Linked DNA regions of Schizosaccharomyces pombe. The protein of the gene in region 1 purifies or fractionates together with the protein of each later gene. This does not show direct contact. Each region holds a gene or a part of one and is shown on either strand. Other genes may lie near its edges. The genes, in order: rns1 and fal1.

Evidence for each region.
Region 2: the proteins of rns1 (region 1) and fal1 purify together in Schizosaccharomyces pombe (affinity purification with western blotting, with the first as the bait; one study listed by BioGRID). This does not show direct contact.

The regions. Positions count from the first base shown.
Region 1 is NC_003423.3:3,726,495-3,737,129, reverse strand, and holds rns1 (putative RNA-binding protein), read left to right. Parts: upstream 1-9,018; 5' UTR 9,019-9,061; coding exon 9,062-9,253; exon of another isoform or gene 9,254-9,319; coding exon 9,320-9,425; exon of another isoform or gene 9,426-9,472; coding exon 9,473-9,798; 3' UTR 9,799-10,002; downstream 10,003-10,635. Other genes in the region: Fe-sulfur cluster assembly protein Isd11, read left to right, coding at 1-50; SPOM_SPBC13G1.05 (folding protein), read right to left, coding at 226-342, 405-842, 898-1,181, 1,228-2,338; abh1 (alpha-ketoglutarate-dependent dioxygenase), read left to right, coding at 3,368-4,136, 4,200-4,324; protein Pex14, read left to right, coding at 4,778-5,050, 5,111-5,698; mpg2 (mannose-1-phosphate guanyltransferase), read right to left, coding at 5,906-7,069, 7,170-7,209, 7,273-7,313; nam9 (mitochondrial 37S ribosomal protein uS4m), read left to right, coding at 7,842-7,877, 7,931-8,878; mrh5 (RNA helicase), read right to left, coding at 10,003-10,635.
Region 2 is NC_003424.3:259,273-275,824, reverse strand, and holds fal1 (ATP-dependent RNA helicase), read left to right. Parts: upstream 1-3,482; 5' UTR 3,483-3,501; coding exon 3,502-3,568; exon of another isoform or gene 3,569-3,634; coding exon 3,635-3,655; exon of another isoform or gene 3,656-3,708; coding exon 3,709-4,805; 3' UTR 4,806-4,932; downstream 4,933-16,552. Other genes in the region: plasma membrane stretch-activated calcium ion channel Yam8, read right to left, coding at 1-736; PAK-like kinase Shk2, read right to left, coding at 904-2,673; phosphatidylinositol kinase-like protein Tra2, read right to left, coding at 5,078-15,981, 16,043-16,106; plasma membrane potassium ion transmembrane transporter Trk2, read left to right, coding at 16,364-16,469, 16,510-16,552. UniProt on the Schizosaccharomyces pombe protein: ATP-dependent RNA helicase involved in 40S ribosomal subunit biogenesis. Required for the processing and cleavage of 35S pre-rRNA at sites A0, A1, and A2, leading to mature 18S rRNA.

The DNA.
Region 1 (10,635 bases):
CAGCAGAGGGTGAAGTAAAGAAATCGTTTGAGAATGCTTCCCAGAGTTAAAGGATTAGAAGTGGTAAAAATTTGCATTTGATTGCATCATTTTGTTGGTTGCAGAAAAAGCATATGTTTTTAGATATTATAATTTGCGCTTGCATTTGGTCATTATTGTATTAGTTGAACGATTTGGTCTTTAACCTCGAGTTTCGAGTTTCCAAAATTCTTTTACACCGAAAGCTCACCAAATTCTTTTAGAATGCATTGCGTATCGCTCCAATGTCAGTAGAGGGCTTTTTGGAACTGGTAAATCGTCTTTCGAATTGTTTAAAAAATCCTTTGTTTTCTTATCGATTTCCTGTGATACAGTTAGTTACCTGATTTTAATGAAGTTTATGTATGGCTTGTGTTGAAACTTACTATATGACCACGGAAAAAATTATTGGCTTTTCGTTCTCTTTCCCATGAATTTATTTTTTCTTCTCTTTGTTGCATTGATTCATATCGAGATTGTGTAATTGCTAATATAGCTTTTCCCAACAACAATTTAAGCATAATAGCCATGAAAAATAGAAAGGCAATTCCTGATTTACCTCTTACAACTGAAAGTAGTAATGTCTCCCAAGAAGCTTCTTTTCCTGCATTATAAGTATTGGCTTCTTTATTCGGAAGATAATAGACATAATTATCCTTAGTAGGAAAAATAGTGCCGATAGATTTAGCAATTTCTTGTTTCATTGAATGGGTTGAACGAAACATGCTCCAAGTTTGCATGGAAGTTCGAATAAAAACGCAAACTAATGGTAAAACTGGAAGACCCATTCTTCTAGCCACCTGTTGAGAACACCCCGTCACCGTCTTTACCAATGTTAGTGTTATTGTCAAAAATGATAATTAGTGTATTATAACTTACCTGGGTTAGTTGAGCACCCGAAGCAACATAATCATGACACAGAACATCAGTAAAACGCGAATATATCGAAGGTTTTATATAATTGAACTTTATTATAAACGCATGCTTGAGCCAATCGACGAACAGTTCAGAACCTATAACCCAAAAAAATGGTGCCAACAAGGTCTTAAGCCTTTTAAAAGTTAAGAGGGGTTGATCTAACGAAGAAGTCGTGTACAGTTCTGCAAGATTTCTCAAAAATATTATGATAACCATAATGGTAATCTGAAAACGTTCGACTACGTCTAAAATTAAAGTTAGATGATTTAAGCTAATTACAAAATTACTTACCAGAGCAAGTAAGTTGAAAGAGGTTTTCTTTTTCAAATTTTTTGAAAACTGCCCCTTTAATTTCAACTAACTGATTTGACATTAAAAGTGCAAGGACAGCATTTGAATATGAATTCACTGTAACATTTAGGGTGATGATTTGATACAGAAGAACCAATGTATGTAAAACCATGTACGCTAGAGAAATTGCAAAATAATAGAAAAATGTCATCCAGCCAGCTGGATTCCAAAAATTGAAAGAAAGAATATGATTAGAGAACAAACAGTCAAGAACATCCTGACCCAAAGCGCAACACAATCTGTCCGCAATTTCTAAGACATTATACAAAACATAAAATCGTATACTAGCCTGAGCACGTATAATATGGTAAAGCCGACTAACGTCAATTTTTCGAATGAGAATACTAGTAGAGAATATTAAAAGAAGTTTTAAGAGATCAATTTTTCGGCTCCTAGGTAATGATCGGTTTGGTGAGCTATTACGATGGAAAAAAGTTGAAAATAAACCCTGAAAAATGCAACGGCTTAGGGTAAAAAAAGATATTAAGACCCGAATGGGAAATAATGTAAAAATATAAAGGAAGCTGTCGACACTAACAAACCATCCAAATAAAAATGTCTTTTCAATTGCATATGGTGTAGCCAGAAAGTTTTCAACATGCTTTTCTTTAATAGGATTTGCGGGCACAGTATCATTAGCCAAAAGCTCAAAGCATATGTAATTCCAAAAGTTTTGAATTTGAAGTTTACTCGCCCGTAATCTGGAAATGGGTTTGTCTTGGTTGCCAGTTACTGTGGGCTGATCATTCGTTTTACTAAAGAATGTCGTAGAATAGGACCTAGTAATAGGAATAACGTTTTTCTTAGCACTAGTAGAAGCTGATCTTCTAGGATATTCACTTGAAGAACTTCGTTTTGTCAGTGCATATCGGGATTTCGGAAGAGGAACAGCAAGAACAGGCTCGTTTAGATCAGGTTCTTCTTTCTCTGGTATAACGGATTCATTGTCTTTTCCTCCGTCACGTTTATTTGGAAGAAAACGAGAGGTTAACGATGATTCATTTTCGGATTCAAGTGGGTCAGCTTGTCCAGGTGAGGTATTGCTACCCATGGTTTTTTAGCTTTTTTAGGTAAGGTTAAAAGGAGATTATGGGGATTTGGATTTGTGGAGATGTTTCAGCTAAGAAAATGTGTTGATTCCAGTGTAGTGAAGTTTTAATCGAAATAAGAACGATATTTCATGAATTGTGTAATAATCGTTCGTTTGTTTAGAACCAAAAACACATAATTTTATTTTCAAGTCTTGATACTGTTTCCGAGTCTCTTCAATTTACATTCAACCTTGACTGCCAGATACCAAAGTTATATAATCTTACCACAATGTTGGTTAAAGTAAGTACAGGCAAAGATACCAAAAAAGACACAAATCAGTTGAATTATTGCGAATAAAAATTATTTATTCTCTAAATAATGTTGATGTTGAATTGTTGACATAGGTTACTTTAAGATATTTTCAGACTGCGAGTTTAAAAACAAAATCGATTGACATCGGTATATTTTCTATTGGACCTACGTAAATGAATAAATTACTATAAAAAACATTTCATCTCATTCAAGTCTTAAACTGATCCCATCACTTTATTAAAAGTAAAATCTTCTTATTTTTTTCATTCACGACACTGTGTTTATACGAATTGTTTTATAGGGAATTTTGGCAGTGATTATAACTCAATTTGTAGTTACGTATAAAAGTGTTCTATTCTTTAACAACTTCGAATGTTTGCCTGTTTCTTCTATTTTTTGTATGATAAAATACCACTTTTCGGTAAAATGAATAGTATTGTTGGGTCTTGCTGCTTTAAAAGGGTTAACCATTTAAAGCGTATTTAAGAACTTCGCATTTAAAATATGCCAAAGTATATTAATTGAGAATATGTATAAAAGATGTAAAGGTAATAAATATTACGCATTATGGTAAAAATTGAATTAAGTTGTACTATGGTTCTTACTGTATTTAATTATCTATGACTGTCTGGGAGAAAAACCTTGCAAGTGGCCTAAACTTTTTCATTCAGTCTCTATTAAATGATCTGTCGATTTCTCCACATAAAGTTAGTTTATTGAAATGCTAGCGGGAAACATGGAACAGGCGAATGTTTTTCGTTTAGAAGAAAAACGCTATAAATGTCGTGCCGACACAATTCCTGACATGTCTGAGGTCCTTGATCCTAATGATCCCCAGTCTTTTGGATTTGAAGCTTTAGTTGAAATTAAACCTAGAGTTTTTTCTTTTCAAAAAGCTCCTGGATTATTAATTCTTAAAAACTATGTTTCATCGGAACTGCAAATGCAGCTGTTAAAATCTATAATGTTTACGCAAATTCAAGATCCTGAAAACAAGACCAACCTTTCACCATTTTATCAACTACCATTAGGTAATGATAGCATATGGCGCAGATATTACAATGGTGATGGAGAAAGTATCATTGACGGCCTTGGAGAAACTAAGCCTTTGACGGTTGACAGACTAGTTCATAAAAAGCTTCGATGGGTTACACTAGGTGAACAGTATGACTGGACGACGAAGGAGTATCCTGATCCTTCCAAATCTCCTGGGTTTCCCAAAGATTTAGGTGACTTTGTTGAAAAGGTTGTTAAAGAGAGCACAGATTTTTTACATTGGAAAGCTGAAGCTGCAATCGTAAATTTTTATTCTCCTGGTGACACATTGAGTGCACATATCGATGAATCTGAAGAGGATTTGACACTTCCATTAATTTCTCTCTCAATGGGTTTGGATTGCATATATTTGATCGGTACCGAGTCGAGGTCGGAAAAGCCTTCAGCTTTACGTTTACACAGTGGAGACGTTGTAATTATGACTGGAACTTCTAGAAAGGCTTTCCATGGTAAGCATTGTTCATTCAAATACCTCATTTATAGTCAATTGATTGCTTACTAACTTACCGCAGCTGTTCCTAAGATTATACCCAACTCTACGCCTAATTACCTATTGACTGGAAACAAGGCTTGGGATGGATGGATTTCAAGAAAGCGAGTGAACTTCAATGTTAGACAGGTTAGGCCTTCTAGATAATGTAAATATGGTTATTTTTAATAAAATAGAAATTGTTTTTAGGGCTTAGGAATGATTGATACCATAATTACATATATATCATGTGCTTACTTGTTTTGTCAATATTTTGTTCCTTCTATTGAACTTTCGAAAAATAATTTTTTTATTTAACACTGTATTAAACCACCAAACAATAAGAAACAATTTTTTCTTTAATTTGTCAGTTAATAACTTTCGGCGTAATATAACCAGAACAATTCATTAGCGTACTTTCACAAATTAATTTGACAAATTAAACAATTGTGTAATCCCATTCTTAAAAAAACATAAACCTCGACATTTCCAAGCTTGTTTAGAGAATTATCGTGAAATTACTATCTTGCAGTCCGGAGTTTACTCAATATATTTCAGTTGCTTATTTCCATACAACTACTAACTAGCGAATTCGGTACAAAGCATTTGTCAATTTGAAAAATGAGGGAGGATTTGTTAAGAAACTCCGTTGAATTTTTAAGAGAAAAAACTGTATTAGATGCTCCTGATGTGAAAAAGATTGAATTTCTAAAATCCAAAGGTTTAACTGCCGAAGAAATTCAAGAAGCATTCAAGCTAGCAAAAAATCCGCTATTCCCTTCTTATCCTCGATTTGAAAACACTAGTAATTTTGTTTCAAGAGATTGGAGAGATTGGTTTATTATGGGCGTTATTTCGACTGGATTTGCATGGTCGGCGTATTCATTAGTAAAGGTACGTTCAAAAAACTGAACATTTAAAATATTCGTGCTGTTTTAACATAATTAAATTTAGAAATACATAGCACCAATGTTTCGCGCACCATCTCAAAACGCTTATGAAGCTGATAAAAACGCTTTGGATGCTAAATTTCTAGAAGCTCATAAAATACTCGAAAATTTAGATGAACAAACAAGAAAGCTTTCCGAGAGAACTGAAAAACAGCAAGATGAATTGGACATTGCGTTAGATGATTTAGAAGAGACGTTGAATACTTTGAAGCGTACGTCCGAAAACCGAGATCGTGAAATAGCTAGAATCTCACAAGATGTATATACCATGAGTACTATTACTTTACCACAAAGTCTTGAGCAAATTAAGAAATCTCAAGAAGAAGCATTACAAAACCTTTCGAGAGAAATTAGCTCTCTACGATGTTTACAAACTGATTCAAAAAAAGACGACACTTTCGCTACCACATCAAACTCTTCGATACCAGTATTAGAGAATCCTTTAGATACTTCAGAAGGTTTTCAAACTAAAAAGGTTGGTACTGCCTCCCTTCCAGATTGGCAAATATCAATGCATAACGAGGCTTCTAAAAACATTGATTTCAATGATATTGATCCCGCAGAGTCTTACGTTGCAGAAGATGCTTATTGACAGTAATAAAACAAATCACTAATAACAATTAAATTCAGGATTTTTTCTAGAATAATACTTAATGTCATTTAACTGGTCTGTCAAGACGCATCTTAATCATTTAACAATCTGCATTCTGCATCAGCTAATAAATGTATATTATATAATAAAGGAGAGTCAAGTAGATATAATAAAAAGCAAGTTTGCTGCAAGGTTAAATGTAGTATCTTACATCACAATCTCACCAACCAAACCAACCTTTATTTCTTTATGAGGAAGTACAAGGCAATTTTGAACGCGTACTTCATCATGGACTATACAATCGGCGCCCATAACAGTAATAGCTTGGACTTTAACGCTGTTACGCATAATCGTAGTGGAGTGCTGGCTTGGAAGAGTTGGAGAACCTTCGACTCGAGACCATTTACCAATCTTGCAATGGCGGGAAAGAATGGAATGTAAAACAACAGCATTGGCAGAAATTTCGCAATCCTCTTGAATAATTGAGTTTCGAATACGTGCGCCATCCTCGATGCGAACACGAGCACCAATTGAAACATTGGGTCCAATCTTTGCACCTTTGCTAACAATAGCATTAGGATGAATAAAAACCGGCTGAATGATCTCAGCCTCAGTGTCGGGTTTTGGAAGAGTACCATCATGATATGCCTTTTGTAAATACAAGGAATTAGCAGGAACAGCAGAGCCAGCGGTTTTTATTTGACGCCAGAACTCAGGAGTATTATAAGCATAAATGGCTTTAGAGGAATCTGAGCACAATGGAGCAAGCACATCGGTCTCCAAACTGAGGTAGTCTTCCATTCCTTCATCCAAGGACCTGAGTTGCTTCTCGACCTCCTCAAGTCTACGCTCGTACGCTTTTTTGATTTCATCGAATATAGAGGCATCAAAGATATAAATACCACATGAAATAATATTTGAAAGATAGGAGCTTGGCTTATCAACATAATGAAGTACACGCCCAGTACTTGGTTCCTCTACAAGGCAACCGAAGTTAGAAGCATCTTCTTTACTAACCTTAGTAGCCATTAAAGTAACTAAAGCTTTCTTCTCGTGATGAACGTTTAACAATTCTTGTAAGGGAAAACTGCAACACACATCCGCATGCATAACAAAAACATTAGAAGTATGTCCTTTAAGGATTTGATCACGGAAATGGTATAAGCCGCCACCAGTTCCTAAGCAGTTGTATTCACGGAGATACTTGATACGATTGAAACTGGGGAAATGCGAAGCTACTTCGTTGATAAAATCTTTGAAAACGCTTTCATCGTAGAAACCAACCAAAAAGACATCTTTAACACTTTCAATCTTGGATAAAGCCGCCAAATGATGGTAAATCATTTCTCGTCCTCCAATTTTAAACAAAGGCTAATTTAGTTAGCAAAATAGCTCTTATGTTTCAAATGCAACTAGAAAGTAAAACTGGATTACGTATTTTACCAACATATAAATTCTAAATAAGACGTACTTTAGGGACATCAAACGAAAGAGGGCGGAATCGGGTACCACTGCAAAGTAATTAGTTACTGATATTCACGCGTTTAATAGACTTATTTTTCGTTGGTACGTACCGAGATGGACCCCCGACCAGAATGACAGCAGAGGAAATCATAATAGCAATTTAATACTAAAAAATCAATAATGAGTATCAAAATCACCAAAAACGAAAGAGATATACGCCTCTTGAAACTTGGTGTGTGGTTCTGTGCAAGTCCTGTCCAGCTCTCCTTTGTTTAATAAGGAAGGTAGCGCTATGAGCTAACTTCTGCCAGTTCATATTTGCACTTAATAGCCTGGCTGCAGAAGATAATACTCTATGTAACAATGAAATACTAATGTAAATCAATTTAGTTCAAAAACCCATGATCTAAAAATTGTGCTGCAGGCTGAGGCACTTTGCCAGCCGTGAGGAACTTAATGCTCATCATCAGCTGTTTTGCAGAAAATAGTAAAGCACCTTCTAGCTTTGGTACAAATTATAATGCATTAAAACTTAAATAAATAAAATTTACTAATTGAATTTTCGAGTAAAAGTAGCCTTTTTAAAAATTTGTTCTCTTTAATCACCTTTATGAATTTACCATCAACTTCACGCACTACGCTGGAAGATTGGACTCTCGTGACAAAGACTTAATTGCTCATGAAGGGGAAATTTAGGTTCTCTTTAAAGCGCGGTGTATGTTATATATGAAATTATTGATTTTTTCGCTTTTATTAATACATATCTAGCTTTTGCGTCCGTCGTGGAACAAATACAATATATACAACATTGCAAGAAAACAACTACCTGCTCTGAATAATAGAACTTTATATCAAAAAAAATGGAATGCGAAGAAGGAAACAAGGTCTTATCATGGTCCTCAATTACGCGAATATCAACTGAAAAATGCCTTCCGCCCAAAATTGGAGGGGGTTATTTCTTCCTTAGATAATAAGCTTCCCATCCCTTTTATGAATCAGACTTATGCATTTTTGGAATCCCGTTTAGACATGTCTATTCATCGAGCGTTATTTGCGTCTAGCGCTTTACAGGCTCGCCAACTGGTGCTTCATGGAAAAGTGCACGTAAACGGAAAACCTGAACGCCGTGCCTATCGTCAACTCTTACCTGGTGATTTAGTAACTGTTGATCAAAAATCAGTAATGAATTGTGTTTCTGCCTCTAGTAACAATACCCCTTCTATACAGGATGGGAAGCAAACTGAACAGGTGTCCTCTAAGGATGGAGAAAATGAAAAAAAAAAGGATAATGATGATGATTTATTTGAACAGACTTCTAATGGAAAGTTGCCCTCTATCAATGAAACAATTTCCAACTTTGTTCCTAAACCGTTTATGTCACTAATGGCATTTATCCCTGCTTATTTAGAAGTTTGCTTCCGCACTTGTTCCTTTGTTTATGTGCGTGATCCAGTTGCTCGTCCTGGCTTAACGGAAGTTCCTTCTCCATTTCCTGAAGACTTGCACGCTTTAGCCTATACATACTATATCAGAAGTCGTAATATGCGGCAAGGAGCAGCTAGATGTCAGGCCAGACGGCTTATTCCGCAGAAAGTACGCGATGCATCATTTTATCAAGGACCTCCTGAATTATATAAAAAACGAAATGTTTCTCCCAAAGAAGCATTCTCTCATCGGTATCCAGTTCGTCAAGGAAAGTTGACGAAACTCGTATAAATCGAATAAATGAACTCCTCTCAAAAGTTTAGTAATAAAATATAAAACATTCTCAATTATGCTTTTTGTAATACTATGTTGATTTCCACTTTTGTTTTCCTGCTCTATGAAGTAACTGCCCTGTCTACTGCTATCCACGTAACCAAATCTTATACACATACAAGAACTGGCACATCTTTTTTCATGTACCAAAAGGAGGCCTTTTATCGTGGACGTAGCTCAACAAGACAATTTAACAATACCCGATCTCCATCTGGACGTTCAGCGTCGCGTTCTTCCAATTTCTCACATCGGTCTAGTAGTCGTGATTCTTTTTCCTCGAATAGATCTTACTCGAGTTCGCTTTCCAGATCTCCAGAAGAACCATTGCGAACAGTACGTTTTCCATGTATAATTAGTTATTTAAGGCATACTAATCGTTTCTAATACGATGCAAAATAGATTCTTGTGGAAAATTTGACGCGTAATGTCACTAAAGAACATATAGCAGAAATATTTGGGATTTATGGACTAATTGATCATATTTTCATGCCAATTTATAAAAAATGTGAGTGAGCTTTTATTTTTTATGAATTACACCCACTAACTTTGCAGCTGAATTGAATAAAGGGTATTGCTACATAGAATACGTATACCATGACCAGGCCGCAAACGCCGTCGATAAGATGAACAACGCTGAGCTTGATGGTGAGGAGTTGTTTGTATCGATAAAACGTTTTCCTTTTGAGTCACTACACAAAAACCATAAGCACTACGAAAACTCGTATCGACCATCAAGGTCACAAAACAATTCACATTACAACGATAAATCGTTTCATCGCTCCAGATATTCTCGGGCACGTAGCCGATCTCCAGGTTCCAATATATCTGAATATTCTGATCAATCACCCCCCTATCACTCCTATAGACATCGTCCTTAATCCCGCAAATTGTGGCCTACTGAATAAAAAAGAAAAGTGAAAACAAATTTCCAGTTTGAAAGCTTTATTATGTCGTTGTTTGATACGTACCACTACTATTAAAATTTTTGTGAACGGTCGATCCTCTATAAATTATTTTTTGGGAAAATTTTACGAAGTATTTATCGGATGTGCAATTTTCATTGTTCTAAGTCCTATTAGAATTTAAAAGTGTTCGTCGTCAAATTCATAACTTTTCGGTCGGATTCCCACCCTTTGTAGCATAAAGAGAATGCAACGACGGAAATCTGTTTTTTTAAAATCATTGCTTTTATAGTAGTCCGGAATAATGAAATTAAAGATCTTTCCTGTTTGACCCATTGCTCCAAGTCTTCCAGCTATATGCTGATAAGCAACACCAGAAAAAGTACTCCAAAGATGAAATATGTGTGTAATTGAGGGTAAATGTAGGCCTCGAATTTCAGAAGGGTTTGCAACAAATACAACGTTATTAAGGTTAGTAGAAAAATTTAGCGATTCAGTCGACAGTGTTCGACATTGCCAAAAACGGTTACCCACAGCAAACCCTTTATATTGGTTGCAAAAAGAGTGAGGATTAAACTCTTTGGGAAGTACAATCATAACACACTTTAAAATGTTATTCTCGAGTTTTGACTTCTTGGCTTCTATATTTAATATTCGAGGTACTGATTGTGCAAATATTTGTAAGACAGCCTCTGAATTGTTGTATGAAAAATTGTTGTCACCAATACTATGCATAGAATTATTGAATCGAACAAACTCATATGGCAAATTTGTCAAAGTGACCTTTGTTGTTTTTGGTTCAGCTTGAGCTTT
Region 2 (16,552 bases), on another chromosome or scaffold:
GTTCTTTAGCAAAAGGACCGAGACCACGAAGGGTCATTGAGCGATCAGCATTGTTAGTGTTAACAGTTGAGGGGTTGTTTTGAAAAGCACAGAAAGAACTTGAAAATTTGTTAAATGTGTTATCATAAGTGGAGTTAGAAGGGTTGACATATATCTCATAAGAAGGGATGATGGAGGTCTCATTTGTAGTGAGATTTCCCGTAATGAGTAGTGCTGCTTGAAAGTCGGTGTCCTGGGCAAACAGAAATTTAGTTGCATTGTATTGACTAAAGGGAGTGTCAATTCCAGCAGCTAATTCATAATTAATCACATTATTACCTTCTAAAGTAGATTCACCTGACTCGACAAAAAAATTGGGAGCAAATTGAGAAAAAGCACTGGACACAGCAATATATAAAGGTGAGTAGCCGGTTACAAATATCGTTGCTAGACCATTTTCAGAAGCAGTAATCGTAAAATTATCTAAAGGAAGAGCTTCGTCAAACGTATTGTTCGATATATATAACATCAAATCGTTCGCGCCATCAAAAGCAGTGCAGGTTGATAAAGTTAGACTAACGTTGTAAGCTGTGTTTCCTTCCCATGTTAAGTTATAGTAAGCAGTGCTTTGATCATTTATATTACCATTTATGGTATTGTTCAGCAGCAAGCTAGTATAAGTAGCGCCAAATATGTTTCTAGTTATCGACCAGAAAAAGAGTATCTTCAAAATTAAATGGGTGCTAAAAAAAAACATATAGAACCTTTAGTAATTACTTTCAAGGCTTTAATATTCAAAAGTAAGCTCAAAAGTTTCGCACATGCAAATTGAGAAGTTAATTGAAATTTCTAAAAAACTAGCAAGTTGTATATCATTAAGGATCGTTAAAAATATTCAAATAATCATAAAAGTAAATTTTGGACCTAATTAATATGGGTATTCGCTTTGCGAGAGAAAATGATAGATTTTAGATCTTCAGTCGGACATGCTTGGTTAAGAAATGAATGTGTCAGCAACTCAGCAGCAGTAGCTCTAAAAATGGTATCGATTGTAAGACAGGAATTTAAGAAAGATTTTAAGTTTTTAGAAACTAAATTAGGTTTTTTAAGAGTTGGAGTTCCATTTTTTGCTATCAGATACAATGCACGAATTGGATCCTCTCTGAGATAAGGCGGTTCGTTTTCAATCATCTCTATAATCATAATTCCAAGACTCCATATATCAACTTTGGTCCCATATTCGTTTTGCTTTACTACTTCAGGGGCCATCCAATATGGTGTTCCAACCATCGTAACTCGTTTATTAGTACGGTTAGACAATCGAGCACAAAATCCAAAGTCAGTAATTTTAATATTTCCAGAGTTGTCGAGTAAAACATTGTCACTTTTAATATCTCTGTGAATAATATTTCTGGCGTGCAGATGCTGAATTCCCTTGCACGTTTCTAGACAAATACGAGCAATTTGTGCTTCTGTAAGCTTACTTTTTTCAATAATATCAGTCAAAGATCCAGCGTTCATGTACTCCATCACAACCCATAAATGCCTTTCTCGAACAAGAAATGAATCTAAATATGTCACTATGTTAGGATGAATCGATTCTCTCATGACAGTGATTTCGTTTAAGATTAGTTCCTTTCTTGTTTGGCACTGCAAATCAATACTTTTTATTGCAACTGAGTCAAAAATACCTAATTGTTTTCCTCCGACGACTTTGGCTAAGTAAACAGATCCCGATGCACCCTGGCCAAGTTTATGCTTAACATTAAAATATTCGACAGGATCATGAGAAGTAACTGAGTCTTTTAACATGGCTAAAGCCTGTCTATCAGTCATTCTTCTACTCAACGTGTTCTTTGAATCTGCTTTGACCGGTACTTTGGTTACTTTTCCGGTCATGATAGATTCTACATGACTTTTGTCTTCAATAAAAGGCCTTATGATATGCTTTTTATCCGTCTGTATGGTTGTCTTCGGCTTGCATCTTTCAGTAATATTCATTTTAGTAACTCCAGATGTCGTGAGTTTATGATGTTTGTCAGCATCGCGAATAGAATACGATGTAGTAGAGGATCGTGGCAGTGTCTCTTTGCAAAATGAAAAACTATCTTTAGTTTCGCTTGTTGTATCCAACTGCTTACTATAAAAATCCAAAGCTTGAATAACTGCTTTCGGCTCCTCCATGCATTCTTGTTTGGTAATCGAACTACTCTGAAGTAGCAATATCCACTCCTTGGGTAATCCGACATAATTTCCTTCATTATCAATTCCCACATGCACTTGGTGTTTAGGATTCATCGGACTTGAAACTTTGCTAGCAAGCGCACGAGAAGATATTAAATCCATCCACTCATAACATTCCATATTATCGGCCACGGACAATTCACAAGCTTGAATCTCAAAATTTTTGGTACTACTTTTGAACCTCAATTTAAAGCAGAATGTCCTAGACTTTGAACGCTCTACTTTTTGAATATCCTTCAACAGCAACGTAACCTGAGCACTTTCAGACTTGCTTCCTTTATATATCGACAGAGAATTGCTAGAAAGTACTAGCCACTTTTTAGTCCAAGGGAGATACTTCATTTTATCTTCCTTCAGCATAACCCATCCTGATCGAATGATTCCCTTGCTTTTCTTTGTATCTTTGAGAGATGGAATTTCAACCGGCACGCCTCTTACACTTAAAAGCATTTTGAAAACGATGCAATAGTTTTGGTATACATGCTTCTTTTATACATTTTAGCTCAAATGTATAAACAAAGAAACCCCATTTATAAACAAAGAGAATGCAAAAAACAAAGAAATGTTATGAAAAGAGAAGTCAATTGACGTCAACAGTAGTGGATGAAAAGTAATTCTTAATTAATTAGATTAAGTCTTACAATTGCAATTTGCAATCTTATCGCAAGCGAACATGACATTGGTTACAAGATTCATGACAACGCTCACAAATGTAAACTGTGTATAGCATTTATAATATCTGAGAGTGATTTTAGGTAATTTTTAGCATGGAAATGTATAACTGAATTTATGCGAAGTGGTGGGCAATTCTGGTTAGGAAACATTAATTGATAATGGGTTTTGACTAGCCGATAATTTGCATGTTAGTGCTAGGAGAACTTAGATTGCTAAAACGGAAATTAGTATAACAATTCTAGGACGAATTGAAATGTTGTTTAGACTCTTAAGGGTGGTGTTCAACCATTGCTCCAGTTGTAGAAAATTAATGTAAGACTCTCATAATTTTTTCGTGTAATGTCTAATTCTAAGAAACCGCTAGTTTACTTTTTATACCATTATCTAACAAGTTGGGAGTACTGAAAATAAACAACATGTGAATAATAAGTTCATCTAAACTTCTTGTCAATATTTAATAAAGCTTTCCGTACAATTGAAATTTTTTAAAGGAATATTCTTTTATTTTTGTAACTAACCAAGCTTTCTATTTGCTTGTCAAATTTTCTCTCCTTCATTTTCCTCAAGTTGGGCTGACATAACATAACTACTACAACTTCCATTATGGCGGACGAAATAATGGAGAACGTGGAGCTTACGACATCGGAAGATGTGAATGCTGTATCCTCTTGTAAGTAAATTATATTTTTTTATAATATGAATACTTACTGTGAATGATGCTAACATTGTTTTGCAGTTGAGGAAATGAATCTTAAAGGTTAGTTAATGAATTGATAAAAATTTCCATAATTTTGTTCTAACAACATGCAGAGGATTTACTTCGTGGAATCTATGCGTATGGCTATGAGACTCCGAGTGCTGTGCAAAGCCGGGCGATTATTCAAATCTGTAAAGGGAGAGACGTTATCGCACAAGCTCAATCTGGTACAGGGAAAACAGCAACTTTTTCTATTGGTATTCTTCAGTCGATCGATTTATCAGTCCGAGATACTCAAGCTTTAATACTTTCTCCTACGAGAGAATTGGCAGTTCAAATCCAGAATGTTGTACTTGCATTGGGTGACCATATGAACGTTCAATGTCATGCTTGTATAGGCGGCACATCCGTTGGAAATGACATCAAAAAATTGGATTATGGACAACACGTTGTTTCTGGCACTCCTGGGCGCGTAACGGACATGATTCGTAGACGAAATTTGCGAACTCGCAATGTTAAGATGCTTATTCTTGATGAAGCGGATGAGCTCTTAAATCAAGGCTTTAAGGAACAAATTTATGACATTTATAGATATTTACCCCCTGGTACACAGGTGGTAGTTGTGAGTGCTACCTTGCCTCAAGACGTGTTAGAAATGACTAACAAGTTTACCACTAACCCTGTTCGAATATTGGTCAAGCGCGATGAACTTACTCTTGAAGGCTTAAAACAGTACTTTATAGCAGTTGAAAAAGAGGAATGGAAGTTTGATACTCTGTGTGATTTATATGATACTTTAACCATTACACAAGCTGTGATATTTTGCAATTCTCGTAGGAAGGTTGATTGGTTGACGGAGAAAATGCGAGAAGCTAACTTTACCGTTACCAGTATGCACGGTGAGATGCCGCAAAAAGAAAGAGACGCTATCATGCAAGATTTTCGACAAGGAAATAGTAGGGTTCTCATATGCACAGACATATGGGCAAGAGGAATTGATGTTCAGCAAGTTTCATTAGTGATCAATTACGATCTTCCTGCAAATCGAGAAAACTATATACATCGCATTGGTCGCAGTGGACGATTTGGTCGTAAAGGTGTAGCTATTAATTTTGTTACAAATGAAGATGTACGCATTCTTCGGGATATTGAACAATACTATTCTACTGTTATAGATGAAATGCCTATGAATATAGGAGATATGGTTTAAATTTTCCATTGGAAAAAAAAAGCTGGTTTTTTTTGGATTATTGTACAGATTTGGGGGAAAACTTTAAAATAATAACTGTATATTTAAATTAATTTCCATTTATGTTACCCAAAACTTTCTATGCGTATTTTTTTGGTGTCATTTAGATCATAATTTTTTGGTTGTAAGATCCTGCAAAAGAAAAGTATTAGCATTTTCTCCTAATAATAAATAATCTGAGCATTCGTAGCAATTCAATATTAGATGAAACCTCAAAACTGATTTGCAATTTGTTAAAGCCAAGCTTGCCAAAGTTGATCCATTTGCGCCAGCTGCTGAGGATTAGTTGCTTGAGATACTAAATCCACCAAAGTCTGATTCAGTGGAAGGTCCTCTGGTACATTATGAGATATGACCGATATTCGACGAAATAATAATTCAACATTTACTTTCACGGTTTCGAACAGCTGGATTCCCTGAGGAATTGGCTTTCTTTGCTGCTTGGACCACCAGAAAACTTCATCACGAACATAAAGACTTAGATACTGCTTTATATCAGTAGTAGGACTTGATAGACTTTGCGCAATGCTCATTACTAATCCCGAAAGTAATCCTTCAACTCCCAAATCAGAAATGAGGTATTGTATTGGAGGCGTTAATCTAAACGGAACAGCCTCAGTATTGTGAAATACAGGTTGGTTGGAAGTCATAGAAGGTAAAAGGTCTTGCGACATCACCTGGCCAGAATCCTTCACTATGAACAGCTTTTGAGGGGATCGACCTCCAATATTGAATACATAAGTCATAATAATCATGTAAGCATATTGCGTTGTAAATGTCCTGCGGAAAAACCAAAAGTCACAGTACCTTTCAAAGGTTTTATAAAAGTAGTCATAGTATATGCTTTCAGGGAAAACTGATGAATTCAGTGTTTCGAGTAATTGCATACGCAACTGCAACGCTCGTTGACGAAATATTTGCTTTTTCTCTTCCACCGTACTATTGCTAAGCATAGAAGCACTAGCTCGCTTCAATTGAATAAGACCAGTCTGCAATCTATCAAAATAAAAACGAATTCCATAATCTAAAGGCATCCCCCTATTTTTGCAGTACTCATCACTTATAGTTTGCATTGTAACATAAGAAGGCTTATCAGCAATTATCCGCATATGTGATGATAAAGGAATTGAAGACGGTATTTGAAAACTGAAATTTCGATTCTGAATTTCTATTTTAGAGCGTAATACAGTATTAAACGTGCCAAGCAACTGAAGCATGCGCTCTTCACGTCGACTGTGTCGAGTAGCAGGATATTGTAATGCAAAAGGATAAAGTTTTCCATCGTATCCTCTAAGAGTAAGTCGCTTATAACACATAGTATGGCCTCGTACCAAATCAACGTTTGGAACAAAACGTTCCAATCGTACAAAATCATTATTGTTATTTTTATCGAGCAAATATTGACCAGGAATCTCAACTTCGTCAAACTTTTGATGTTGAAATTCACTCAAGTATAAACTACACTGTTCCAAATGAAGAAATTTAGGTCTTTGATCCAGTATGTTTTCAAATTTCTTTCTCCACATACGTAATTTGTCAACATATGTTAATAAGTCTAATTTTGTTTCAACAAAATCCCGTAAAAATGCTTCTCGCACTGATACAGGAAGAACGTTTTCAGCAAATCGTTGAATGTTGGCTTGAGACATAGGTAGCTGGAATGTATTTTTTGATACAACGCCTAAACGAGATATGTACTGAAGGCCATCATTTAGAAGAGCGACAATGAGCCTGTAGGCATCCTCTTCAGGAAATGATTTTAGTCGGGTATGTATTTGGTCGACCATAGTTTCCATAGTAAGAGCCAGCAACGGATATGCGGTTTTAAGGATAGATGTCACATCAGCAATTAGCTCCCACGCAGGTTTGACGGTTGATATTTGGTGTTTCTCAGAAGAGTCTATAGAGGAAGGGCTTCCATTCTTACTGTTAAATTGGCTAACGCTTGAAAACGAGCCAGAAGGAGAGAGATCTTTTGATTTATTATCCGAAGAAGAATCGTTTTCACGTAAACGACTATTTCCCCTTAGTACATTTGCCGCCTGTTGCTTCTTAAGCATTAGGAAGTCTTCATACGCGGTACGAAGCTGAAAATGAAGAGATTGGGGATATGTTTTAGCAATTTGAATAAGAATTGCTCTTGCATGGATTGATTCACGATGTGATAAGGCCGACAAAAGCTGTGGAATAAACGGAATCCAGTTCCAAGTAGGAATTTCCGACTTAAAGGATGAGACCACTTCTGAGACAGAACCGTGAGAATCATCTACCGACAATAACCAAAGTACACGTGTTAAAAGGGGTTTGGAGTTAGAACTCGACAACAGAGAAGATGCTTGTAAAAAACAACTCACAGCATTACAAGCATGATGGATCTCTTGAGGGTTTGCCTGAAATAGTTCATCATGGTACAATCCCCATTCACTCCAAGCCTTTCCTGAACCAATATCTATTTGCACAGCAGTTGCAAATGCCTGATTTGCTTCATCTTTTTCTCCAAGCCTGTTTTGAAACATCCCTTTTAGAGTAAAAAATTCCGCCTTCTGTCGATTCCGAAAGTACATTAGGTTTGTATTGTTGATGACTTCCAAACCCAGCTGCATTTCAGAAGGAGATTCGTAATGACACTCAGCCTGTTCTCTCAATTTCAAAAAAGCCTCTTGAATTTCGATGTTTGGTAGCGTATATATCTTTGTCAGCTGATTGATGCAAACTTCAGGTAAATGATGAACTCTGGCAACATGAGCGAAGCGGTTTATTATCCAGGCCAGCTCGTGGTATCCTCGATAAAGGTAAGAAACCGAGTTTGTATTAGACTTGTTTGTTGACTGTTGAGCAATTGAAACAAGAGGAAGGAACACTTTGTTGATTGATTTAAAAACTGACTGACGCCAAGCTATTAAATCACTCCATATATCAATATCATCCCAAACATTTGGCAAACGTTCCCTCCAACCTTGAAGGACGACTTTTATATCCCGCAACTTATTGTCAATATTGTGAATGTTGGTATCATTTAACTGGCTGTATATACCAAAAGCTTCCTGTAACTCTACAATTTCCTGAAAGTGATGTAGAAGAGAAACATGCGATTGATACACGCGTTTGGGTAGCTGCTGCCAACGCCTCAACGAAAATTGCATACACTCGTCAATTATTCTAGAAAACTCTGTAACAGATCCCATTTTCCTCTGGGTTTTATTTAGGTATAACAACGCATCAGCAGTATGCCGCCTAAGGCTTGTGAAAGGAGATAAAGACTTCGTAGCCTTTTCTAAGGTATCTTGTTCGGTACTCCAGTCAGATAAGCGCCATGCACATTCTAGATAAAGTTCAGCACATCCTTCTTGTTTTGAAAAATCAAAAAGTACATCCCATTGGTTTAGCTTTTGAGCACATAAAATCCAATGATCCAGCCAAAATCCATGTTCAGTAGGTGAATACGGTAAACTTCCTGTACAAACTTTTAATTGCGCATGCTCATAAACCAATTGAGCTTTTTCCCACTCATGGCATTGTTCATGAGAAGTTGCAACTTCGGTTTCCAAAAAATTCGCACGTCTTCTCCAAAGCCCATGGTACAAATCATGTTCATCCAAGCTATAATAGATATCGCTGAGAGCATCAAGACAACTTTTATGATACACTGTTAATTCATCTTCAGAAAGACCTGGATTGTTTTGCAAAGAATTTTCTAGTAATAATATACAATAATGGTGCAATCCATATGTCTTACTCAAATATACAAGAAGATGAGGTGGTAATGGTATAGGCATGTCCGAGGATACAATCGACGTTAAAATGGTCTCCAAGACATTAGGTGTTTTCCCAAGAAGCCTGATGTGATATTCACGAGAAAGAAAAGAAATTATTGAACCAATACACAAAGGGATTTCATCCTTTGTAAAGCTGCAAACTGAAGCATTAAAAAAATCTCGCCATAAGTACTCCGCAATTTTTGAATTTGAAAACTGTAAGCTCAAAACTGGAAGTACAAAATCAGAGACTAGCATACTGTTTTGATTGAAATCAATTATTCCATACTTTAGTAAATTGTTATGTAACATTTCGGTATCTTGCGCTTGGGAAGTCAAATCCTCATCGAATTCTCGACAGTAGATAGAAAAACAAGAAAATAACTTGGGCTTTTTATAAAATTGACATCTTTGGTTTAAATCAAAGCAACGGCTTAAAAAAATGTTCAATTGAACGATCCAGTAAGTATTAGAAAGTGATTCCCAATGTTGACTTCCCAAGAGAAATTGAAAACGAGAAAATAGATCAGATGGGAAACTAGAATTTAAGCCTTTTATAAACCTTTCCTTCAATTTCTTATTCGCAACTCGAGTACCTAGAAGATACACTGCTTCTAATCGAAACGTCAACTCACTATTTTTGTATGGCTCCATTTCGTAAATATCAGCTATAAACGATAAATATTTGTTAAATAAATCATTTTGTTCATTTTGGCTGAATCTTCCTTCAAAGGTTACCATTTTTAATAGTAAAGCAGCTTTCTCTTTCACCGTTGGAACAGGAACCGGAGAATTCATAATCCAACCTCGCACAATTTCCAATAGATAATTACAAATTTCGTAGCTTGAGGATTTTTCAATTATTTGTACCAAGGCACTTAAAAACCATCGTCTTTGATCACCAAGATAGCTGATGTAAGAACAACCCAACTCGATCATTGACTTTAAAATAGATACTCGTTCATCAACAGCATTAACAATCTGAAGGTTAAGTGAGTTTCCTGATGGCTGACTTCCTAACGAAAGAAACTCCTTGGCAACTTTATGGAAGCAACGCATAAAACCTGGTAAAAGAGTATGCAAAGCATCTTTTTTATACTTAAAGAAACATTCAACACAAGGTAAGGTCACTTCTATCTGGGAACAACTCTGAAGCCTTCTTTCTGTCCAACTAGCAATAGACGTCCAAATGTCGTTGAAAATTGGATTTCCCGCAATTGAAGGATGAGTGTTGGAGAGCGTTAGTATAGTTGAAACAAAATTTCCAATTGCACTCTGTACACCAACTGATTCATTTTCTAAAGATTTTTCTAATAAAAACTTCAAATCGGAAAGGTTTTCTTCTATCCACGCAGAATCTGAGTGCCCCACCACGATTGACAGGGTTCTTAGCGAATTGGCAAACATCACTGAATTGGCATCAGTAGCATCAAAATGAGTAATACTCTTCGTAAAAAAAGATAGTTTCATCCCTAAACTTGCCCATGTACCGGATGAAAGCAAACGCTCTAGTAAAGAAATAGCTTCGGAACACAAACCTTCTGTGAAGGGTTCAGAAAAAAGGCACACAAAACGAAATAGGTAACTCAATATAGCTCTCTTCTGGTTATTTGAAAAAATTTCCTTCTGGTCAACTTTAAGTTGGAGATCATTCCATTCTAGTAAAACCTTAATTAAGCCTAAAGATAGAGCGCGAATCTCAGGATTAGGGTTCGGAATGGCTCCAAATTTGTATAAAGAATCAATTAAAATCGGAACATACCTTCCCCTGTGTTCGATAAAAATATCGGAGTGACTACTAATAAAATCGTAAACATTGAGCAGCTGTGAAATATTTTGACTTTGGCTGCTAATAACTTGTAAAGGCAATTCAAACCAGATAGGTGATTTCTTGCTTTCTGGCTCCTCAGAAAATATGTACGAAAATATGTTGTCAAAAGAAGATTTTACCAAATGTCGAACTTCAATAGGGGAACTTTTCAAAAGAGCCATATACACAACGTTTACTAGCTCGTACGGAAATTGTGATCGTAAAATGAATAAAGACATGACATAAATCGATAATTGTTTAATCATCACGTCCTCTGAATTTCCAAAGAGACTGCACATCTTAAGCATTTCAGTCTGATGCTGTACAGTAATTTCTGGGACATTTTTTAAAAAAAAAGAAATTATTTGTAAAGCGCCTATTTTTATTCCCTCATCATTAGCATAAACATTAGTGGAAGGATGTTGGAAAAAAACTTCGTAAAATATAGAAAATATTTGATTACATTTTTCAAGAGAAGACACATTCTGATTGAGATACGTGAGAAGAATGCCAGCCAAGTTTTCCTTCAATAAAAACCCGTAGTCTTTTGATAAAATAAGGTTTAAAATCAATTTAACATTGTTCTCTAAATCAGGTTCTTCAATTTTTTTTACCAAATGAGCCGTAAGGTCACTTACAAGGTTCTTGGCCAATGAGTTTTTATACATGTGAAAGCATGACAGTAACTTGAGCCCATCGTCATAATTATATATGCATAAATCATACACTTCCAACAAAAATGTTGAGGTACGAACCAACAGGTCGTTCCAAAAAACCATGGATTCCAAAATGGACTCATTTTCAACCAGATGGCTTATTGCTAGCACGGCATCCATCGAGCCTCTAAAAAAGTCATTTTTATCTTTGAAGAAAGAAGGATCACGTTGTAGTATTACAATGGCAGAGTCCAAAGCAAATGAATAGCGGTTAGCAGTTACAGTATTGATTTCGTTAGTTAAAATGGTCTGAAAAAATAACCAATTATCCTTCACAACTGAAAGTAGGGGGTCTGAATCTTTAAGTCGAAGTAACTCAACAAAAACAGACGTAAAAGCGGCCTCATCGTATCTAACCATAAAAAATTTCCAAGCATCTTCGGGATATCTATTGACATATTTTAGCAAAGGTTCACTGAAATAATTAGGAAAGGTTCTTTGTAGTCTCAGACTAAATTCTACAACACAAATTAACAATTCATCCATAAATCTATTTGCGTTATTTGGTAATAAATGAAAAAGATCAATAAGAGCTCGAACAATTTTCATTTCAGTTTGACAAAACAAAGGAAGACTAGACACCTTTTGGAAATCAACATTTTCAAGTAAAGCCTTTAAATGATCTAGTAATTTTCTTCCTATCTCGACCTTAAAGTAATTTGTGAGGAGGCGTAGCAGCCTTCCCAAACCTTCAAGTCCTGCAACGCTTAACCTTCGATAGTCAGATATATTATACAGTATTGGACGCAAAGTTGTTTGTAACAATTCTTTTGATAACTTTTGGTCCTCTTGCAAAGCGTTCTTGAGACCTAATGATGCCGCTTCAATAAGCTCCTTGGACTTTGCATACAAAGATTTAAAAAAAACAACAATAATTCCTTCACGTAAGTGTGCATGTTGAGGGTTATTAAAATCAATCTTCAAAATGCAAGTACTGAGTAATTCTACACATACTACTCTCAAACGTATAAGAAGTGCAGCGTTTTTGAAGTGAGAAGTTTTACCAATTCCAATAAGAGCATCATCGTCCGCTTCTGCTAAAGCAGTGGTTTCATGAATAAGACGAATTAATTCGTCGGAAAAAGTAATCAATTCACTTCCAAGACTTATGCAGTAATTTACAGCATCGATATGTCCAATTTGTATATGGAAAGGTAATGCTCGAAGAGGTTTTGCAAATATTGGTGAGAGAAGTCTTTCTTTGAAAGGTGAAACTAGTTTAACAATCGGAGTATTTGAAAGTTCCGACAATAAAGAAAGCAATTTTTGGGTAGAAGAACGGACCACAGAATTATGATTTGACAATTCCAATACTAGATGCCCTAAAATTCCGGGAGCAATTTCAGTATCTTTGGAAGCATATATTTTTCGAAATAACTGCTTTAAAACGTCCATCACGTGATCCTTACAGACAGTAGGGACTTCTGAGGTAGTATCTTTCAATGTAAAAAATAGCGCAGTTAAAATATCAACTTGTCTGTCAAAAAGCCATTTAGAAGAATGATCTTGCTCTATCAAACATTCCAATCCAAAACAGCCTCCGTATTTTTTATACCAATGAGGGTCATAACATTTGTGCCGGAAATCAGATAATAAGACCTCAAAAATTGGAAGGATAAAAGCCCTTTCTGGATTTTCAAAAATCGATTCTAAAAAACTAAACATAAATTTAAGTACATGTTTCACAGCATCACCCATCTTGCTATTGTCATTACAAACGACTTCTGATAGACAATGAGCAAAATAATGAGGACTAATAATAACCTCCTTTTGCAAATTAGTCGTAAATTTTGAATGATTTCCTTGAATAACGTCAAAAGCATAAAAAATATCGTGTACAATTACGTTGACCGCCAGTTTTTCAAGCCAGAAGTAAGCTTCTTCGCGGAGTTCATCAACCGTCGTAGCAAAAAAAAGTCCATATGTAGCCGAGGCCAAAATTATGGTTTCATCTGAATCATCACTCAGTTGGGTGAATGAACTCCTTCCAGTCATTCGGCTCGGTATTACAGAATATGGTCGTCGAAAATCAAAATTACTCTTAGAAATCTTGTCTGCAGTACATCGAATGGATGAGGCTAAGCTGTTAGTAGCGTCACTCTTATAAACATAGAGCTTTGAAATATTGCAAACATAAGTGAACGCTTGTTGCTTAACCTCCAGATCACTAGAAGGGCTAGAAAGCAAATTCACAGCCTCATCAACATATTGGGTGTAATGTAAAAGTTGTGGTTGTTTAACCCCTTTTATCGAAAGAAGTAAAGTAAAATCGTTATTCGGTTCCGGCGAATTCTTTAAACTCTGGACTCTATCAAGAAGCTTCCTATTTCTTCCACCAAGTTTACCAAGTATTTTCAAGGCAGTATGGCTGTGATTATAATTATAAGGAAGAGGTTGTAGATGACTCCATAAAGCATTCATTAGATCTTCTATGTAAGGAGCCATTATCGGATCCAAAAAATCAGGAGTGAGATTATCCAAGCATAATTCAAAGGTTCGTAATCCCTGACTAACTAATTCTTGACTGCTTTTTAAAGACATGACGAGAGGTCTCATTAGATAACTCATGTATGGTAATAAAAGACTAAGCCTTACAGGAATAGTAAGACAAAGTTCGGTAAAAAGGTCTTTCTCCTTCGGAGTACGGGCAGATATAAGCAATGAATTAAATGCCTCTAATAGAGCGTGCAACAAAGGCATTACTTCTTTATAAAGGCTTTCAAATCTTCCCCCACCAATTCCTCGGAACAACGCTCTTAATAGATAATAGTAGTTCAATGAATTAGCAGAATTGGGAGCCAACTTCATACATTTCACAATAATTTCAGATACATAAGGCCGAAGAACTGGCTCATTCTCTGTTGCAAACATTGAGACTGTAACGAAAGAAAGACGAAACAAACGCAACAAGACAGAACCATGCCTGATGTCAGAAGATCCGAGTTCCTCAATTCTGGAAAGCAGAAATCGAAGTAAAATATTTAAAAATTTTGATGATGTGCTCTCATTTGAAAGCAAAAACTGTGGAATGTGAAATAATGTGAGATTTTTTTTAAGTTGATCAAAAAAAGTAGGAAGGTTTGTTTCAAAAACTTTAAGAAATATAGATGGCTCGAGATGTATAAAAATGGTAGCAAATACTTCAAGACAATCTTTCTCGTCTTTGTTACGAGGAAGCGTAGATATAGCAGGGCGATCTAAACTTTCTTCTTCGCAGCAGAAAAAAGTTTCTAAATAGACTTGCTCAGGTCGAAAATATGAGAATCCTTTGCCAACCTCAAAAAAAAGCTTCTGAAACGTAACAGCTTCGAAAGGCTTGATATTCGTAAGGAATCCCGAAAATTGTTCACCTCCAATTTCTATGCATCGAGACTTGCATGTACGAAGCCCATACATAAGAGCCCGTAAGCCAAACATCAAGTTTTTAAAAAGAAATGATCCATCATTGACGGAAGTGCTAAATGAAGATAAATCCCTAGGAGAAGAACGCGTCGGTGACTTTGTCTCTTTAATTTCTTCTTCATACTTTTTCTTAAAAAACTGATCCAAACTATCATTAAGTTCCGAAAACTTATTTACAAAGCTATCAAAAATAGATAAAAGAAGAAATATAGCATCGGGGATGCTAGGAAGACTAATCATTCTGTCAACCATGTTTAAAATGAGCCGGGCACCCATAGTCTGTAACCCAATGCTAAGAGTCAAATCATGCATATTGGTCGAATAAATCATTATAGATTTTCTTATTTGCGTTTCGTTAAGTTCGTCACGTACATGATGAAGTAAGTCAGCTAATGTACTAAATGCCAAGGGACGTAACAGCTTTTGAGTACCAACTCCATTTCCTAATAATATATTTAAATCTAACAAAAAATCCAGCTTTTTGACAAAAAGAGATTTTAAGTTTGTTGACAGAATATGTCTCGTAGCAACCAGCAGTTCTTTACGGGCAAAACACATATCAAAAGGGCATCGCCTCAAAAGCTTTATTACAATGTCCGGTATTATATCCTTCTCAGAAAGTGTATTGGGATGAGTTCGTAAAATATAAGCCAAGAAAGATAAAGTCTTTACTTGAGCCATAAAAAAATTACGGTACTGATATTTATTCCTTATAAACTCAATAAAGTCAATGCTTGAATCTTTTTCAATCATTGCATATGAAGCGATGTCTATTGGAACATCAATTTGTACCATCTTAAGAAAACAGGGAATTATGGCTTGAACACCAGGGAAAGCAGCTTGACGATATGCTTGAAGAATCAAAACTATAATGACCGGACACTCTACATACACGCGGAAACTTTGAGAAGCCAGTTCCAAAGGTTGAGTAGAAATAGCTAAAGAATTGACACGCTGTTGGATGATTGAAGTTTCCGTAGACAGATAACTACCAAAAGCCAGGGTTGTATTTTCCTCTTCATTTGATTTTGGATTCTCGACAAATATTGAGGGAATTAAATAAGGAAGGTTTGTAGAAAGCTCAAGTACCAAGTCAAAAAAGGGTTGTGCAGTGCTTTCTATACAAAACTTAAAAGTTTTGAATATATCCATAATAACTTTTAAGCAAAAAACAGCGACTTCTTCATTATCTGCTTTAATCAAGCTAATGAACGAAAGCACACAAGACTGCGCATATTGTTTAAATTCATCACGGTGAGCGCAACTTTGTATTAAAGTCAATGCTTCGATCTTGAGTTCATTGACAGAAGAATTTCTATAAAGATTCACCTCTGTATTTCGTAAAAAATCCAAGAGTAGTGGAATTAATTCTGCATACAGCTGCGAGGCGTCTGAAGATATGCTAGAAACCTTAGTAATTAAAATTTTAGTTAGTTTGATTTTTTCTTCTATTTCTTAAAAAAAGTTAGTATAAAATAAAAAAATGAATCAAAATATCTACAAAAATTTATATACCTGTACTTTCAGCTTTCAGTAGCTCTATAGAGCTGCTGAGCGACTTTTCAAAACCGTCTTCCATAACAAAGTTCGGTCCATGCAGATACTTTTTAATAAATCTTTGAAACCAAACTTGATACACTACGAGATTTTGGACACAGCTGTAAAAAAGCACAGAACGATTACTGTCAGATGTTGTTTAGTTGTTGCTATGTTCAAGGTGAATCGTATAGTGAGGACGCAAAACTGCACTATTCAAGAAGCCACTGAAGCTATTTGAAATCGACGTGAGTGTAATTTTTATCAAATACAATATAATACTGCTTTATAAACTATGACATGTTTGTACGATATAGAAGGTTTTTAAGAAGGAAAATATTATACAGATTTTATCATGCAGTTATCGGGTTTTTCTACAAACGGTTCCGGTTCCTTGAATACCATTGTATGTGAAAAACTTCTTTTCAAGCCTAACTTTGTTCAAGATTCTTTTATAATAGGAATGACTATTTTATGTTCAGTAATATT